3 linked regions of the Arabidopsis thaliana genome follow. The protein of the gene in region 2 interacts with the protein of the main gene of each other region in a biochemical or structural test. Each region holds a gene or a part of one and is shown on either strand. Other genes may lie near its edges.

Region 1 (6,614 bases), on a different chromosome or scaffold from region 2:
GCTCTCTTGAGCCTTTACAAGAGCAGAGACGTTAATGATTGGATCATAGATGATAGATTCGTTATCACCGTCATCATATACGCTGTAAGTTACAAACATCATATCTTTATAAATTAACTTTTTAAAAATTATAAGATTAGTATGTAAGAACTTAAGATATTAATGTGGGTTTTTTTATGTGGTTTTTTTTTATCATATATTATAGGGAGTGGTAGGACAAGCAATGACGACGGTTGCAACAACATGGGGGATTAAAAAATTAGGAGCTGTGTTCGCATCGGCGTTTTTCCCACTTACTCTCATTTCGGCTACTCTATTTGATTTCCTCATTTTACACACTCCTTTATACCTTGGAAGGTATCTTCTTCGATAATCTCTATCAAATTAATTTTGTCTAGGCATAACACTAATTACAACATTAAAACTTTTGGTCTACAGTGTGATTGGATCACTAGTGACCATAACGGGTCTCTACATGTTCTTGTGGGGGAAGAACAAAGAAACGGAATCATCAACTGCATTGTCTTCAGGAATGGATAACGAAGCTCAATATACTACTCCTAATAAGGATAACGACTCTAAGTCGCCCGTTTAATTTAATTATATTGTTGTTAATGTATGTTTCAAATAACTGTTATGTCCTAGTTAATGTTTAAGGAGAGGTAATGAGAGATAAAATTTTATAATTCCAAACATCAACGTAGAGATTTGTGAAATATTTAAATCCGGTTTGTTTGGTTATTTTGGAATAATTTCGGTTATTTCAATTAGATTCGGGTAGTTCAGTTCTTCGGTTAGTAACAAAAACTGGTCTATTGTTTTTTGGTTAACCTAGAACCGAACCGAACTAACCAAAGTTCTCGGTAACCTTTTGTAGTGGCTTCCTGACCGATGAGGCCGTCAACTTCAAAAAATATTGCAACTAAGCTCTGCTCCAACATTAGAGTATCTATAACTATGTTAAACGCTTCTGCTTTAAGCAAAACACAGTTGTAAGCTGGAATCTAAAAAAATGAGTGTAATGATGTTTGCTGAATTCCATAAATAAATACTACATGCTTCGGTTAAGACTTAAGAGTAATTAATGTTCCTTAATTTCTACAAATGTTATATAAGCAAGTTGACCAAAGTTCTCGATGATAATTTGTTGAAATTTTGTATAGGCATTGCATGATATTATATGAAAAGATGAAGATTTTTATACAGACGCAAGTTCCCCGAGCAGTCCAAGCTTGTCGGGTTTAATTCAACTATGTTAATACGCAAATTTATATAGAATAGGCGTAAAAGTGAGGCCCATACAATGTCTTATTACAAGCCCAGATCCAGCATAGCCAATACGTAGCAGTACACCATCACAGCTGGCACCGTACCCACTTGTTTAGTCGTCCAAGTTTGTACCAATAATCGTTTACACGTAAGCAATTGTGGACCACCACACTCACTTTTACCTACGTGAGCTTCACATTGAAGCTTCTGGCTCGTAGAGAAGCAACTTGAGATATACCAAAAAGTGCAGTAGACAGCCACTACAATATCACCACGTGTCGATCTGCGATGACTTCTGTTTTTTCCATTTATACCCTTGGTGCTGTTCCAGCCTCAAATAAACTTTTCAATTAAAATTTTTCCAAAAATTAGGGGAAAAATTGTTGTGGCTGAGATTGCTTCTGGCTTCTCTTCTTCTTCTTCCAGTCTTCTTCAGCCTAAAACAGTCTTCCTTCTTCTTCTTCTTCTTCTTCTTCTTCTTCTTCTTCAGTTATCTTCTTCCTTCTTCTCTCTGTTTTTTAAATTTATTTTTAGAGATTTTTTTTTGTTTTGCTTCCGATTTGATTATTTCCGGGAACGATGACTTCTCCGGGGAGTTCCCGGTGAGATGATAAGTCAGATTGCATACTTGTCTCCTCCATGGCTACTCTCAAGGGTATAACAGTTTACATTATGAGCAGTTTCTAGGATTCCTATAACATACTAAGATCTCTGTTTGGCTGCTGAGAAACTTATAGAAGCGATTAACTAAATCTTATTAGCTCTAAAAGTTAGCATAAATGATACGAATCTGGTGATTGATTACTGATATGAAGATTTGTGAAGGTTTTGGCTGCGGTGGATTCGTTTGGGTGAGGCTTTTGTGAATAATAATAAAGGGAATTCTTTTGAGTTCTGCTGGAGAAGCAGCGACTGTTTCACGGTGGACTTTGAAAAGATTTCTCTTTTGAATTTCGCTCATCACTCTTATCTTAGTGTTTGTGGATAAATATTTCTCATAAAGTACTTTCTCCTTTGCAGTTTCTCTAGAATCTAAAGAGGTTATCACAACGGCTTTGCAATTTGAAAACTTTCATGTTTGGGGAGATCAAAGATGGTTTCTTTTTTATACTTTACTTGTTAGAGAGGATTTGAAGCAGCGAATAGCTGCACCGGTCCTGTTATGGATACTAATACATCTGGAGAAGAATTATTAGCTAAGGTACTACTACTAATGAAATAAGATTGGTGTTTTTTTGTTTGAGAGATTTGGACTGTTGTTGTGTGAAGATTTGATTTTCTTTTGGGTTTTCAAATGTTTAGGCAAGAAAGCCATATACAATAACAAAGCAGCGAGAGCGATGGACTGAGGATGAGCATGAGAGGTTTCTAGAAGCCTTGAGGCTTTATGGAAGAGCTTGGCAACGAATTGAAGGTCGAAAGTTTATCTTTTGAATGTTTAGTTTGAACTCTTTGAGATTTTATATTCCTTTGTTTAGGAGTGTCTTTATCTCCTCTTGATTGGGAGATTCCTTCTTTTCTTTTCATTTTGTGTGCAGAACATATTGGGACAAAGACTGCTGTTCAGATCAGAAGTCATGCACAAAAGTTCTTCACAAAGGTAAGTTGATGATCCTTTCAGATCTTTTTAAAACACTTTCGTTATCTTGTGTAAAGGTACCATTTTTTCATATCGATCTATGACTATGTTTAGAAGTTGCCTGTCACTGTCTGGAAAAGATGATAGAAGGTTCTTCTTATTCTTCCTTTTCTCTAATTGCTTCAACTAGAAATTAGGCGTCTAAGTAGAGTGTGTTTTGCTAAGTAGAGTTGGTTGGTTCCGAGGATTGCATCTCGATCGTTTTTTATCTTTTTCATTTACTCTGTTCAACTAAACTTAACATTAGATTGGTCTGTCCAAACTTACTGTTAGAAAAAACTCTACAGAGAGCTTTCTTCTCTGAGACCATAAGATAGGTCCAAATTAACATAACTAGCGTTGCATTTGGATGACACAATTGTCCCATATTCACTAAAGTCGATGAAATAATGGGATTGCATGAATTCTTTTAGCCATCCATATGGAAACCAAACCTCCTTGCCCTATAGGACAGGACATGAAGTAACTCTATCATCTCTACCCCGAAAAATTCGGGTCAGTATAAGACTTTTTTCAACCTTGGTGATGTGGTCAATTTCATGAATCTCAGGATTTCACATCTGAGCTGCATTTTTCCATCTCCAGTTTGGAAAAGCTCACAGTTTTTGGTTCACATTTCAGTTGGAGAAAGAGGCTGAAGTTAAAGGCATCCCTGTTTGCCAAGCTTTGGACATAGAAATTCCGCCTCCTCGTCCTAAACGAAAACCCAATACTCCTTATCCTCGAAAGCCTGGGAACAACGGTACATCTTCCTCTCAAGTATCATCAGCAAAAGATGCAAAACTTGTTTCATCGGCCTCTTCTTCACAGTTGAATCAGGCGTTCTTGGATTTGGAAAAAATGCCGTTCTCTGAGGTTTATTCCTGATCTTTCTCTTCTTCATTTTATCATTTTGGTGGTCTTGTGATAGACTTCTTATGTTTTATTTTCTGGTTAGAAAACATCAACTGGAAAAGAAAATCAAGATGAGAATTGCTCGGGTGTTTCTACTGTGAACAAGTATCCCTTACCAACGAAAGTAAGTCTAAGAAAGCTACAAAATTGTAGTCGAAGAATCTGATGAATGCTTTCAAGTGCATGACAAATTATTTGTTCCATTCTGATTTTTAGCAGGTAAGTGGCGACATTGAAACAAGTAAGACCTCAACTGTGGACAACGCGGTTCAAGATGTTCCCAAGAAGAACAAAGACAAAGATGGTAACGATGGTACTACTGTGCACAGCATGCAAAACTACCCTTGGCATTTCCACGCAGATATTGTGAACGGGAATATAGCAAAATGCCCTCAAAATCATCCCTCAGGTATGGTATCTCAAGACTTCATGTTTCATCCTATGAGAGAAGAAACTCACGGGCACGCAAATCTTCAAGCTACAACAGCATCTGCTACTACTACAGCTTCTCATCAAGCGTTTCCAGCTTGTCATTCACAGGATGATTACCGTTCGTTTCTCCAGATATCATCTACTTTCTCCAATCTTATTATGTCAACTCTCCTACAGAATCCTGCAGCTCATGCTGCAGCTACATTCGCTGCTTCGGTCTGGCCTTATGCGAGTGTCGGGAATTCTGGTGATTCATCAACCCCAATGAGCTCTTCTCCTCCAAGTATAACTGCCATTGCCGCTGCTACAGTAGCTGCTGCAACTGCTTGGTGGGCTTCTCATGGACTTCTTCCTGTATGCGCTCCAGCTCCAATAACATGTGTTCCATTCTCAACTGTTGCAGTTCCAACTCCAGCAATGACTGAAATGGATACCGTTGAAAATACTCAACCGTTTGAGAAACAAAACACAGCTCTGCAAGATCAAAACTTGGCTTCGAAATCTCCAGCTTCATCATCTGATGATTCAGATGAGACTGGAGTAACCAAGCTAAATGCCGACTCAAAAACCAATGATGATAAAATTGAGGAGGTTGTTGTTACTGCCGCTGTGCATGACTCAAACACTGCCCAGAAGAAAAATCTTGTGGACCGCTCATCCTGTGGCTCAAATACACCTTCAGGGAGTGACGCAGAAACTGATGCATTAGATAAAATGGAGAAAGATAAAGAGGATGTGAAGGAGACAGATGAGAATCAGCCAGATGTTATTGAGTTAAATAACCGTAAGATTAAAATGAGAGACAACAACAGCAACAACAATGCAACTACTGATTCGTGGAAGGAAGTCTCCGAAGAGGTAAAACAAAAACCAATGATTCATGGATATTGCAGAGTTCTTCTGGGAACTAACACTATCAAAATATTTTCAGGGTCGTATAGCGTTTCAGGCTCTCTTTGCAAGAGAAAGATTGCCTCAAAGCTTTTCGCCTCCTCAAGTGGCAGAGAATGTGAATAGAAAACAAAGTGACACGTCAATGCCATTGGCTCCTAATTTCAAAAGCCAGGATTCTTGTGCTGCAGACCAAGAAGGAGTAGTAATGATCGGTGTTGGAACATGCAAGAGTCTTAAAACGAGACAGACAGGATTTAAGCCATACAAGAGATGTTCAATGGAAGTGAAAGAGAGCCAAGTTGGGAACATAAACAATCAAAGTGATGAAAAAGTCTGCAAAAGGCTTCGATTGGAAGGAGAAGCTTCTACATGACAGACTTGGAGGTAAAAAAAAAACATCCACATTTTTATCAATATCTTTAAATCTAGTGTTAGTAGTTTGCTTCTCCAATCTTTATGAAAGAGACTTTTAATTTTCCTTCCGAACATTTCTTTGGTCATGTCAGGTTCTGTACCATATTACCCCATGTCTTGTCTCTTGTCTCTGTTTGTGTATGCTACTTGTGGTCTATATGTCATCTGCTACTACTGTTAATTAACCATTAAGCAATGGATTTGTCTTTATTCTTCTTTTTAAAAATTGTGGATATTGATTGATGAGATCATAAATAGTTTATAATGATAAAAGATGAACTGTACAAAAGTTACAACTTAGAAAGTTTTGTCTTTTGGTGTTTCTTCATAATGATTCTCTCTGTTTGTTTCAAACTTGAAGGCGCTCGTTGCCCAACGCCAAATGCCCAAAGGTGCTAGGCTGGGCCTTAAAGATTTTACTCACACTACTTGGGCCTACATTACAACATTTTCCCTATTACAAGCTTAAGTAATAGAGGCCTAAAGAAGGCTTATATTGTGTAGCTAGTTTATACAATATTTCAATCTCTTAATTTGGTTTACTGATGAATGAGTAGATATACAATTTTTTTGTTCTCACTGAATGAGCCATATCCTTGCTACCAAACCAAATTATTTGTGAAAAATGTAATGCAAGTATCCTACATAGATTATAGGAGTGACCGCAAAAACACAAACTATGTTTCGTAATAAAAAATAAAGTATTTTTAAAAAGATGTAAATCTTTGTAAATAATTGAGTGGTAGTGTAGTGAGTGTTACGATAATATAAAAGTTTGATCCGTATATCTCGGTGGTGACTCATATATACATTTTACAATCACTTGCTAGACCAACGGGCTTCACTTGTTTCTCTCCCAAAGTTTCTTCATCATCCTTGCGATAAAGAAAACAACAATCGGCTGTTTCGTTTCGATCCAAAGGTACGTTTTTTTTTCTTTTGTCATCGTTCTAAGATCATCAAAGTTTGATGCTTTTCCATGTTTAATCTTCTGGGTATTTTGTTGCTTCAAATCTCAATCATCCATCGAGTCTATAGAGAAAAAGTGAACAGATTTGGTATACATCTTTTC
Region 2 (3,957 bases):
TGATTGGAGTGTTAGGGTTTAAAATTTGTAATCGACATGGTTTCTTGTTTTCTTGTTTAAGTTTGATTAGTAGTCTCCCCTGTAAATCATCTGTTTTTTACATGCGGTCTTGTTGACTATCTACAGATAGACACAAAGGACATACTCTTCATATGTGGTGGTGCTTTTGTAGACATTGAAAAGACTATCTCAGAGAGGTCTGACTGATGAACATATTTCAAATTCCTCCGTTTTTTGTTTCTATCCTCTAAACTGAATTGCGTTATAAGCATATGAGTGTGTTTTTTTTGGTTCCAGGCGCCATGATTCTTCAATAGGGTTTGGTGCTCCTGTACGTGCCAACATGAGGGCTGGTGGTGTTACAAACGCCGCTGTTGCATCAAACCTAATGGAAACTGTAGGTCTTTTCATCTCTTCACTCACCAAATGTTGGGTGTTCTTCTACTTGTTTTGGTTTGTATCGAAGTTTGAAATGAGATGTTTGCTGTTGCAGGTGGAAAGCAGTGACCTGATTGCTTATGGTTTGATTCCTGAATTTGTTGGACGATTTCCAGTTCTCGTCAGTTTGTCTGCTTTGACTGAGAACCAGCTTATGCAGGTACTAGGAATGACATAAATATGTGACATTGTGATTTTTGCATTACTAGACCATGTTCATAGAATATGCAGTAATATCATTGGATTGCAGGTGTTGACAGAACCCAAGAACGCTCTTGGAAAGCAATACAAAAAGATGTACCAGATGAATAGTGTAACTACTAATCTCTCTATCTCTATCTCTCTCCTTCTGCTCCAAAGCTTGAGACAAGTCTCCATCTTCTCTTTCTTCAGGTAAAGCTGCATTTCACAGAAAGCGCACTGCGGCTTATAGCTAGAAAAGCAATAACGAAAAACACGGGTGCTCGTGGCTTAAGAGCTCTTCTAGAAAGCATCCTCATGGACTCTATGTACGAGGTAAATACACCTCTTATTACTTTCAAATCCGTTTTGCTAAAAATCCGTATTCAAACTCTTTTCACATTTCTGCAAAACATTTGTTTTTCTCAGATTCCGGACGAGGGTACAGGCAGCGATATGATAGAAGCGGTTGTGGTGGATGAAGAAGCAGTTGAAGGAGAAGGGCGTCGAGGCTCTGGAGCTAAGATTCTCCGTGGTAAAGGAGCATTGGCTCGGTATCTCTCTGAAACCAATTCCAAAGATTCCCCACAGGTAAAAACCGAGCTTTTACTTAACCGATAACAACTGTCTGGTTTGTTTGATAACCTCATTATCTGAATTGCTTGGCTTAATTGTTGCAGACGACAAAGGAGGGATCGGATGGAGAAACTGAAGTGGAGGCAGAGATTCCATCTGTTGTAGCAAGTATGTAATGATCACCACCATCATCATCATCATCATCAGAAAATGTGGTGAATGTATCTTTGTATGCGTAATATTTACCGTTCTTTGTACATAAATGAAGGAAAGAAAAACAAAGTTGGATAAGAAAACACAAGGATGCACAACTTGCACATTGATAAATGATGATGTAACAAACTTTTTATCGTATGCAATGTCCATCTTTTCATTGATGTATCTTATAATTCAAAGTATTCAACAAGAAAACGCTCTTGTAACAAATAATCTTATTAGGAAAATTCAAACACCCATGTGTCAGATTCTAATAACCGTCGGATTAAAATCCAACCAAAAAGCTTTAAATCTGGACGGGTATAATTAATTCCTCAAACTTCTTCTCTGGAAGAACAAAAAAAGATGAAACAAAGCCAACGAAGAAAAGCACAATTTTGGCGAAACCCAGTGAGAGAGAGACAGAGAGAAAGGAGGGAAATTCCAGCTTCCCTTTTCTCTCTCGTTCTTGCTCTTTTGATCTGCGTGAAAAGAAAGAATTTTTATTTTCCCGACAGAGAAAAGTCCCAATTTTTAAAATTAGGACTTTTTGATTTTCGAAAATTTTGGTGTTAATGGAAACAGATAGTATCGATTCCGTGATCGATGACGATGAGATCCATCAAAAACACCAATTCTCATCAACCAAGTCTCAGGGAGGAGCCACCGTGGTAATCTCTCCGGCTACAAGCGTTTACGAGCTCCTTGAATGCCCTGTCTGCACCAATTCAATGTACCCACCAATCCATCAGGTTCGTATCTCATCATCTCCTAACATTGGAGGGTTGAGAAAGATCTTATTGCTTCTTACGAATATAAAGTTCCAATTTTTATGATCGTTATCTTCAAATGATCTGATTTGTTTATCATTGCTATGGTATGTTACTATTGAGTTTCTTGAGGGTTTATGGATGTTTTGATATATGTATGAGTGAAAAAGTTTCTTCTTTTGTAGTGTCATAATGGACATACTTTATGTTCAACCTGTAAATCAAGAGTGCATAATCGCTCTTGAGAAAGTAGCTGAGTCGCTTGAGTTACCGTGCAAGTATTACAATCTTGGATGCCTTGGGATTTTCCCTTATTACAGTAAACTAAAGCATGAGTCTCAATGTAACTTTAGACCTTATAGTTGTCCATATGCTGGCTCGGAGTGTGCTGCTGTAGGTGACATTACTTTCCTTGTTGCTCATTTAAGAGATGATCATAAAGTCGATATGCATACTGGATGTACGTTTAATCATCGTTATGTTAAATCTAATCCACGCGAAGTAGAGAACGCTACTTGGATGCTAACGGTTAGCATTGTTCTTGTTTATGATTTACGAGTTCTTCAGTTGTCTGAGATTCTGAGGGGGTTCTTTGTTATATTGTTTTGTAGGTGTTTCAATGTTTTGGTCAATACTTTTGTCTTCATTTTGAAGCGTTTCAGCTCGGTATGGCTCCAGTTTACATGGCGTTTCTGAGATTCATGGGCGATGAAGATGACGCACGAAACTATACATACAGTTTAGAAGTTGGAGGCAGTGGGAGAAAACAGACATGGGAAGGGACACCAAGAAGTGTCAGAGATAGTCACAGGAAAGTCAGAGACAGTCATGACGGTCTTATAATCCAAAGAAACATGGCACTCTTCTTTTCCGGTGGAGACAAGAAAGAACTGAAACTTAGAGTCACTGGAAGAATCTGGAAAGAGCAACAGAATCCAGATTCTGGTGTTTGCATAACCTCTATGTGTAGTAGCTGAATCAAAATCAGCCAACCCTTCAAACCTATCTTAAGGTGTTCGTTCGATTTCTTCAATTCGATTTTGTTTCGGGTTTGTGTGTTGTTTTGGTCCAGAATCCAGATAGCTTCTTTACATTCAAAAGTGTATTTAGAGAAGTAAAAAGAGTTGTTCCATTTGCCAGAAATGTGCAGAAGGTCACAAAAGTTGCAATAACTTCCAAAGATTGAATATTTCCATAAATGTATATATTCACATGGTAAGATCTGAGCAAAGATCTAATACAGTAACATATTCAAATCATATCTTTATTTCATTCAAGAAGATGTCCTGTCATATAATAAGTACACTTAAAATGGCTTATGGACTATATTACAGATCTTGAGTTTGTACATAAAATCATTCGTATACGTAACATACAAGGCTGAGACAATCTATTGTGACAACCCGGAGAAGAAGGACACACCGGTGGATGGCAACCACGAAGAACCAGAAATGAACTGAGCCACCGTAAACTTACTAGCCTCTACCGTTGAGGTAATAACATGATAACCAGGCCATTTGACTCGTTGACCAATTCCTGAACCCAACCCTTTGTTCATATACTCACCATAGTACAACGAGTCCAATGCAAACGGACCATTCCACTCCAACCATCCTCGCGGGTCAATATGGTCACCCATATCCGACATCATGTACACAACTCTAGAATACAACTTCCACGGACGGCCGAGATACGTCGGATAACTACCCTTAGAGGCTTCAAGATCCGGTGTTGCTAGTAGCTTACAAGCATGAATCGAAATCCCCGTATTCTGATTCGGATCTTTTCGGTTCTGAGC
Region 3 (4,796 bases), on a different chromosome or scaffold from region 2:
TAGTTGAATGATACTTTACCTAATACGATATTAAGATGTATTTTCTCTTATTGTTCGAAGGCATATCCGAATAAAATTTTGGCATGCACTGTCTTTTCCTACGGTGATAAGCCTTGATCCGTTAGAACCCTCAGCCGAAATAAACTTATCAAAAAAACAAAAACAATAATTCGTATGCATGGGCTAAAACATACAATATTGTATCATAATGGAATGCACAATACCGCACATAATCCAAGAACTTTGGTTCTATCCAATCGAACGGAGAGGAACTATAACTCCGATCAAAGTACAGTTGAAATTAAATAGAAACTCAAATAGCTTTTGTCTCTATCCAATATTATCAAAAAGTTAATAGAATCGAAGTAGTTTGACCAAGTCAACTACAAACAAAGCTTTTGTTAGTTGTTGTTGTGGCCATCACTTCTACTTCTCCAATGTCACAAACGACAACATCGAACCCAATACTTTCACTACTCTTTCATTGAATCTTACATCTATATATATGGACCAGCTTCTTCTTCCTCTTCATTATTCAATAATCTCTAATAAACATGATTTTAGTTAGTTAACATTCATTATTGTTGTTCTAATCGCTAATAAATATTTCAAATCATTTAACGACTACTAGCATGTAAACATTAATTACGATGATCTGAGGTAATGGCGAAAACGACACTGGCTTTGTTTTATACACGAGGCACAGCAATGAAATAGACATATCCACAATTAATGGGCAAGTTTGAGTGTTTGTATTTCCAAAATCCATGTATAAAAATGACCATTGGTTAATTAATTAGCAAAACTTATTCACCGATTTTATTAAACATATAAATCGTGGAATTTAGTATAGGGCAAGATGAATGGTCCACGTCTTTGGGCCACGCGGGCCTTTCAAATCCAGCTGTTCACATGAATTATTCTCATTTGATTTTACTCGGATTATATGTTGTTTTTAAAACTAAGCAATTTGTGTGTCTATGACTACGTCGACAAATGATTATACAATTGGCGTGTATTTTAAAGACGGAGATTACAATGCGATACCATAAACAATAATCAGAAAAAACTGACATGTGTTTCATAGTATAAACTAATCCTACTAAAACTATTTCGAAATAATTAAACCATTCAGACACGTAAAAAATAAATCAAAACATTAATATACTAAAAGAAATGAACCAATGGAAGCTAGTATTACATTCTTTAATTGTTGTCTCCTGTTTCATGGCAGCCATGCCACTGTTTATGTATACAGAGAGCATAATGCGTTATCAAGAAATTAAAAACCAATTGACTAAACCATTTTAACATTTTCATTATCTTCTTATGTTTTGTAACATGCAATAATATAGATGATATATATCATAGAGAATGTAGACTTTTTCATATTATTATCTATGTGTATCCTCAGCTATTAATTCTGTCTAGGCAAAAATATGTGAGTCTGTTTGGAAATGATTATTGTTTTGGATAGAGTACGTAATTAATAATTGATTTGAAATGGAAATTAAATACTAACATATGATTATAGTATAAAGTTATAAAAATGATATATATAGAAGTTGACGGCTTTGGGTGGGCAATTACTACTTAAACCAAGGGTCTTCCTCCTCGGACACACCCAAATGATCCCAATAATTATTCTTCTCTTTATCTCTCTTTTCCTCTTAACCATCCACTAATCAAACACTAAAACCTAGAAAAAAAAAGGATCAAATCATGGAGACGGAAGAAGAGATGAAGGAAAGTAGTATAAGCATGGTGGAGGCAAAGTTGCCTCCGGGATTCAGATTTCACCCGAAGGACGATGAGCTTGTCTGCGATTACTTGATGAGACGATCGCTTCACAATAATCATCGACCACCTCTTGTCCTGATCCAAGTCGATCTCAACAAGTGTGAGCCTTGGGACATCCCAAGTACGTTTTCATTCATTCTTGACAACAGTATCTTTATTGATCCATATATCTCTGTTTTACTTTGATATGGTTGGTCCATATAGAAGATTATGTCATGATCTTCTTTCGTGTTCATGGTTTTCTAGAAACAAAACTTTAGAAGTTAGTTAATTAATCCATATCTACTAAAACAAAAGTTGGAACCAATAAACTTTAAGATGATGATGTCACCTCATTTATTTTGCATCCAGTTTATACAATGTAGTCTATTTATCACAAAAACCTTATTCAAACATATAACAATACTAGTCGATTTATATAATGTTATGGATTGGGGTAAAATTAATACACATATATACATACTTTATAAGTCTTTTATTTTCATGATCAGATGATTACAATTTATAAGAAATTTACATATATTACGTAATAATATGAAATTAATTCGAGAGGCATAGATAATTGTATACGAGAAGTTGACACTCTTGGCGTTATCCTCAACCAAATTCTTGAAAAAAAAGCTTTGGATAAAATAAAATAAGAGTAACGACGAAAAAGTCAATATCTCGATTTTGTTGGTTTATAGCCTTTAGAGTGTGACATATTTTAAGTTTCAAAATGTAAAATTCGTTGGGTTTGATCAAAATTAGTATTCTTATTCTCTCCTTTGCTTACGCCTCTAATGGGTCCTGATTAGTTTTCAAATCAATGTTAAATTGACCCTTCAACTACATAATAATTATTCAATGCTTAGTCGTCATTCATTTGATCAAAGATATTTTTCTTTATTTCAAACAAAATTCCACAAAAAAAAAAAAAAAATCAAAATCCTACTCATTTACACGCGTTGGATTCCTATTCGTTGTTTTGGTTGAATAATCACATGTTGACATGCTTTAGTTCAATCCCTCACGGATGTATCTTTTATCTATACTATTAATCGTAAATCCTAAAATAGCCGATATATTTGAACATGGCATATCTTATAAAGAAAAAAATTCTCGTTATGAGATTCATTAAACTTTTCTATTTATTTTCAATAATATCCTACAATTTTTTTGTTGATTAACCAAGTTAAGTTTTAAAAGCTAAATGTTTCTAAACAAAAGGACAAAATTTATACTATTGCGAGACAAAAAAGTTGGCGCTAACATTTAATCACATGATCAGTTTCATTATCCTGTAGTGTATAATACAACTAAGCGTGTTTGTGTGTATGTTTCAAACAAATGATTAGAAATGGCATGCGTGGGAGGGAAGGATTGGTATTTCTACAGCCAAAGAGACCGAAAATACGCGACGGGGCTGAGAACTAACCGAGCAACGGCCACCGGATATTGGAAAGCCACCGGCAAAGACAGAACCATTCTAAGAAAGGGTAAGCTAGTTGGGATGAGGAAGACATTGGTTTTCTATCAAGGTCGAGCTCCTCGAGGCCGTAAAACCGATTGGGTCATGCACGAATTCCGTCTCCAAGGATCTCATCATCCTCCCAATCATTCTCTGAGCTCTCCAAAGGTATACACAGTTAAATAATCCAGTTATTGATCGTCAGTTAATCTCTTCTTAGCAAATCTGTAACGAGTAATATACGTGTTTATGTGTTGTTGAGGGAATCAGGAAGACTGGGTCTTGTGTAGGGTATTCCATAAGAATACGGAAGGAGTTATATGTAGAGACAACATGGGAAGCTGTTTTGATGAGACAGCCTCTGCATCGCTTCCTCCACTGATGGATCCTTACATCAACTTTGACCAAGAACCCTCTTCTTATCTCAGTGATGATCATCACTACATCATCAATGAGCACGTACCCTGCTTCTCCAATTTGTCACAGAACCAAACCTTAAACTCGAACCTAACCAACTCAGTCTCTGAACTCAAGATTCCATGCAAGAACCCTAACCCCTTGTTTACTGGTGGTTCAGCCTCAGCCACGCTCACAGGCCTCGACTCATTCTGTTCTTCAGATCAGATGGTTCTCAGAGCTCTACTCAGTCAGCTCACTAAGATTGATGGAAGCCTCGGGCCTAAAGAATCACAGAGTTATGGAGAAGGTAGCTCGGAGAGCCTCCTGACCGACATCGGTATTCCAAGCACTGTTTGGAATTGCTGATGATCGAGTGTAACGAGAGTTACTATTGCTATATTCCTATCCATGATTGGAACAATTCTTCGGGGGGAAATAACGTGTGCTTGTCTGATTGTACAAACATTTCCTCACTCTTGTACCCACGGTAGATTCATGTAAAATACCACTTATGACGCTAGACATACATATATTTCATCGTAGTTCCATTTGTTTCAAGGTATTAAGGACCTCTAGAACAATTGATCAAAAAGATAATATGAAACATCACTACCTGTGTACATGATGGGATAGGTGATTGAATAGCCAAGGCAGTGGTTCCTGAAACAGAATTTAAATAAATCAAAATCAATTTTCGGAACAAAAAACCTCAGAATAACAAGTTTTCACGGTAGGAACATATATTGAATCCTTTGAGTCTACCAATGCACATAGATTCATCAACGCATAGGCATTCATCTGGTATGTATCATCAAATAAGCAGAAACTGTCAAGATAATTTACATTGCTTACTTTCGTAGATGTTGCCAATTAAATCCATCAAAAAGCACTGCGACTGGCACTTTCATCGATAGAACTGCGCTGGCTATCATTTCTCAAGGAACAAAGTAGAGATTTAGGAAGATCACATGATATTCCGATATGTATCTGTTTCATCGGCCGATAGAGTTCACGAGGGAGATTGTCATAGTCATTTTACATGATTCTAGTAGAATCTTTATATAAATGTTTTTGTTACTCTGTTTTGAGGTATTGGGGACACACTCAATAGGGTACCTATAAGCAGCTAGAAGTCTGCAAAAGCTTT

Evidence for each region. Proteins that work in one complex are often made in the same cells at the same time.
Region 1: of the proteins of AT5G53360 (region 2) and LHY, one has a biochemical effect on the other in vitro, tested with the Arabidopsis thaliana proteins (one study listed by BioGRID).
Region 3: the proteins of AT5G53360 (region 2) and NAC1 form a complex in vitro, tested with the Arabidopsis thaliana proteins (one study listed by BioGRID).

The regions. Positions count from the first base shown.
Region 1 is NC_003070.9:32,879-39,492, reverse strand, and holds LHY (Homeodomain-like superfamily protein), read left to right. Parts: upstream 1-1,735; 5' UTR 1,736-1,924; exon of another isoform or gene 1,925-2,094; 5' UTR 2,095-2,120; exon of another isoform or gene 2,121-2,289; 5' UTR 2,290-2,431; coding exon 2,432-2,470; intron 2,471-2,571; coding exon 2,572-2,683; intron 2,684-2,807; coding exon 2,808-2,869; intron 2,870-3,321; coding exon of another isoform or gene 3,322-3,403; intron 3,404-3,493; coding exon of another isoform or gene 3,494-3,529; coding exon 3,530-3,763; intron 3,764-3,845; coding exon 3,846-3,926; intron 3,927-4,018; coding exon 4,019-5,092; intron 5,093-5,165; coding exon 5,166-5,501; 3' UTR 5,502-5,512; exon of another isoform or gene 5,513-5,831; intron 5,832-5,903; 3' UTR 5,904-6,114; downstream 6,115-6,614. Other genes in the region: UMAMIT28 (nodulin MtN21 /EamA-like transporter family protein), read left to right, coding at 1-84, 206-357, 439-595. UniProt on the Arabidopsis thaliana protein: Transcription factor involved in the circadian clock. Binds to the promoter region of APRR1/TOC1 and TCP21/CHE to repress their transcription. Represses both CCA1 and itself.
Region 2 is NC_003076.8:21,646,134-21,650,090, forward strand, and holds AT5G53360 (TRAF-like superfamily protein), read left to right. Parts: upstream 1-1,689; 5' UTR 1,690-1,964; coding exon of another isoform or gene 1,965-2,141; intron 2,142-2,242; exon of another isoform or gene 2,243-2,344; 5' UTR 2,345-2,351; coding exon 2,352-2,687; intron 2,688-2,770; coding exon 2,771-3,136; 3' UTR 3,137-3,434; downstream 3,435-3,957. Other genes in the region: CLPX (CLP protease regulatory subunit X), read left to right, coding at 127-197, 298-397, 494-598, 689-751, 832-954, 1,048-1,209, 1,299-1,370; PMEPCRF (pectin methylesterase PCR fragment F), read right to left, coding at 3,550-3,957. UniProt on the Arabidopsis thaliana protein: E3 ubiquitin-protein ligase that mediates ubiquitination and subsequent proteasomal degradation of target proteins.
Region 3 is NC_003070.9:20,946,071-20,950,866, reverse strand, and holds NAC1 (NAC domain containing protein 1), read left to right. Parts: upstream 1-1,585; 5' UTR 1,586-1,722; coding exon 1,723-1,921; exon of another isoform or gene 1,922-3,137; coding exon 3,138-3,418; intron 3,419-3,520; coding exon 3,521-4,015; 3' UTR 4,016-4,296; downstream 4,297-4,796. Other genes in the region: AT1G56000 (FAD/NAD(P)-binding oxidoreductase family protein), read right to left, coding at 4,766-4,796. UniProt on the Arabidopsis thaliana protein: Transcriptional activator that mediates auxin signaling to promote lateral root development. Activates the expression of two downstream auxin-responsive genes, DBP and AIR3.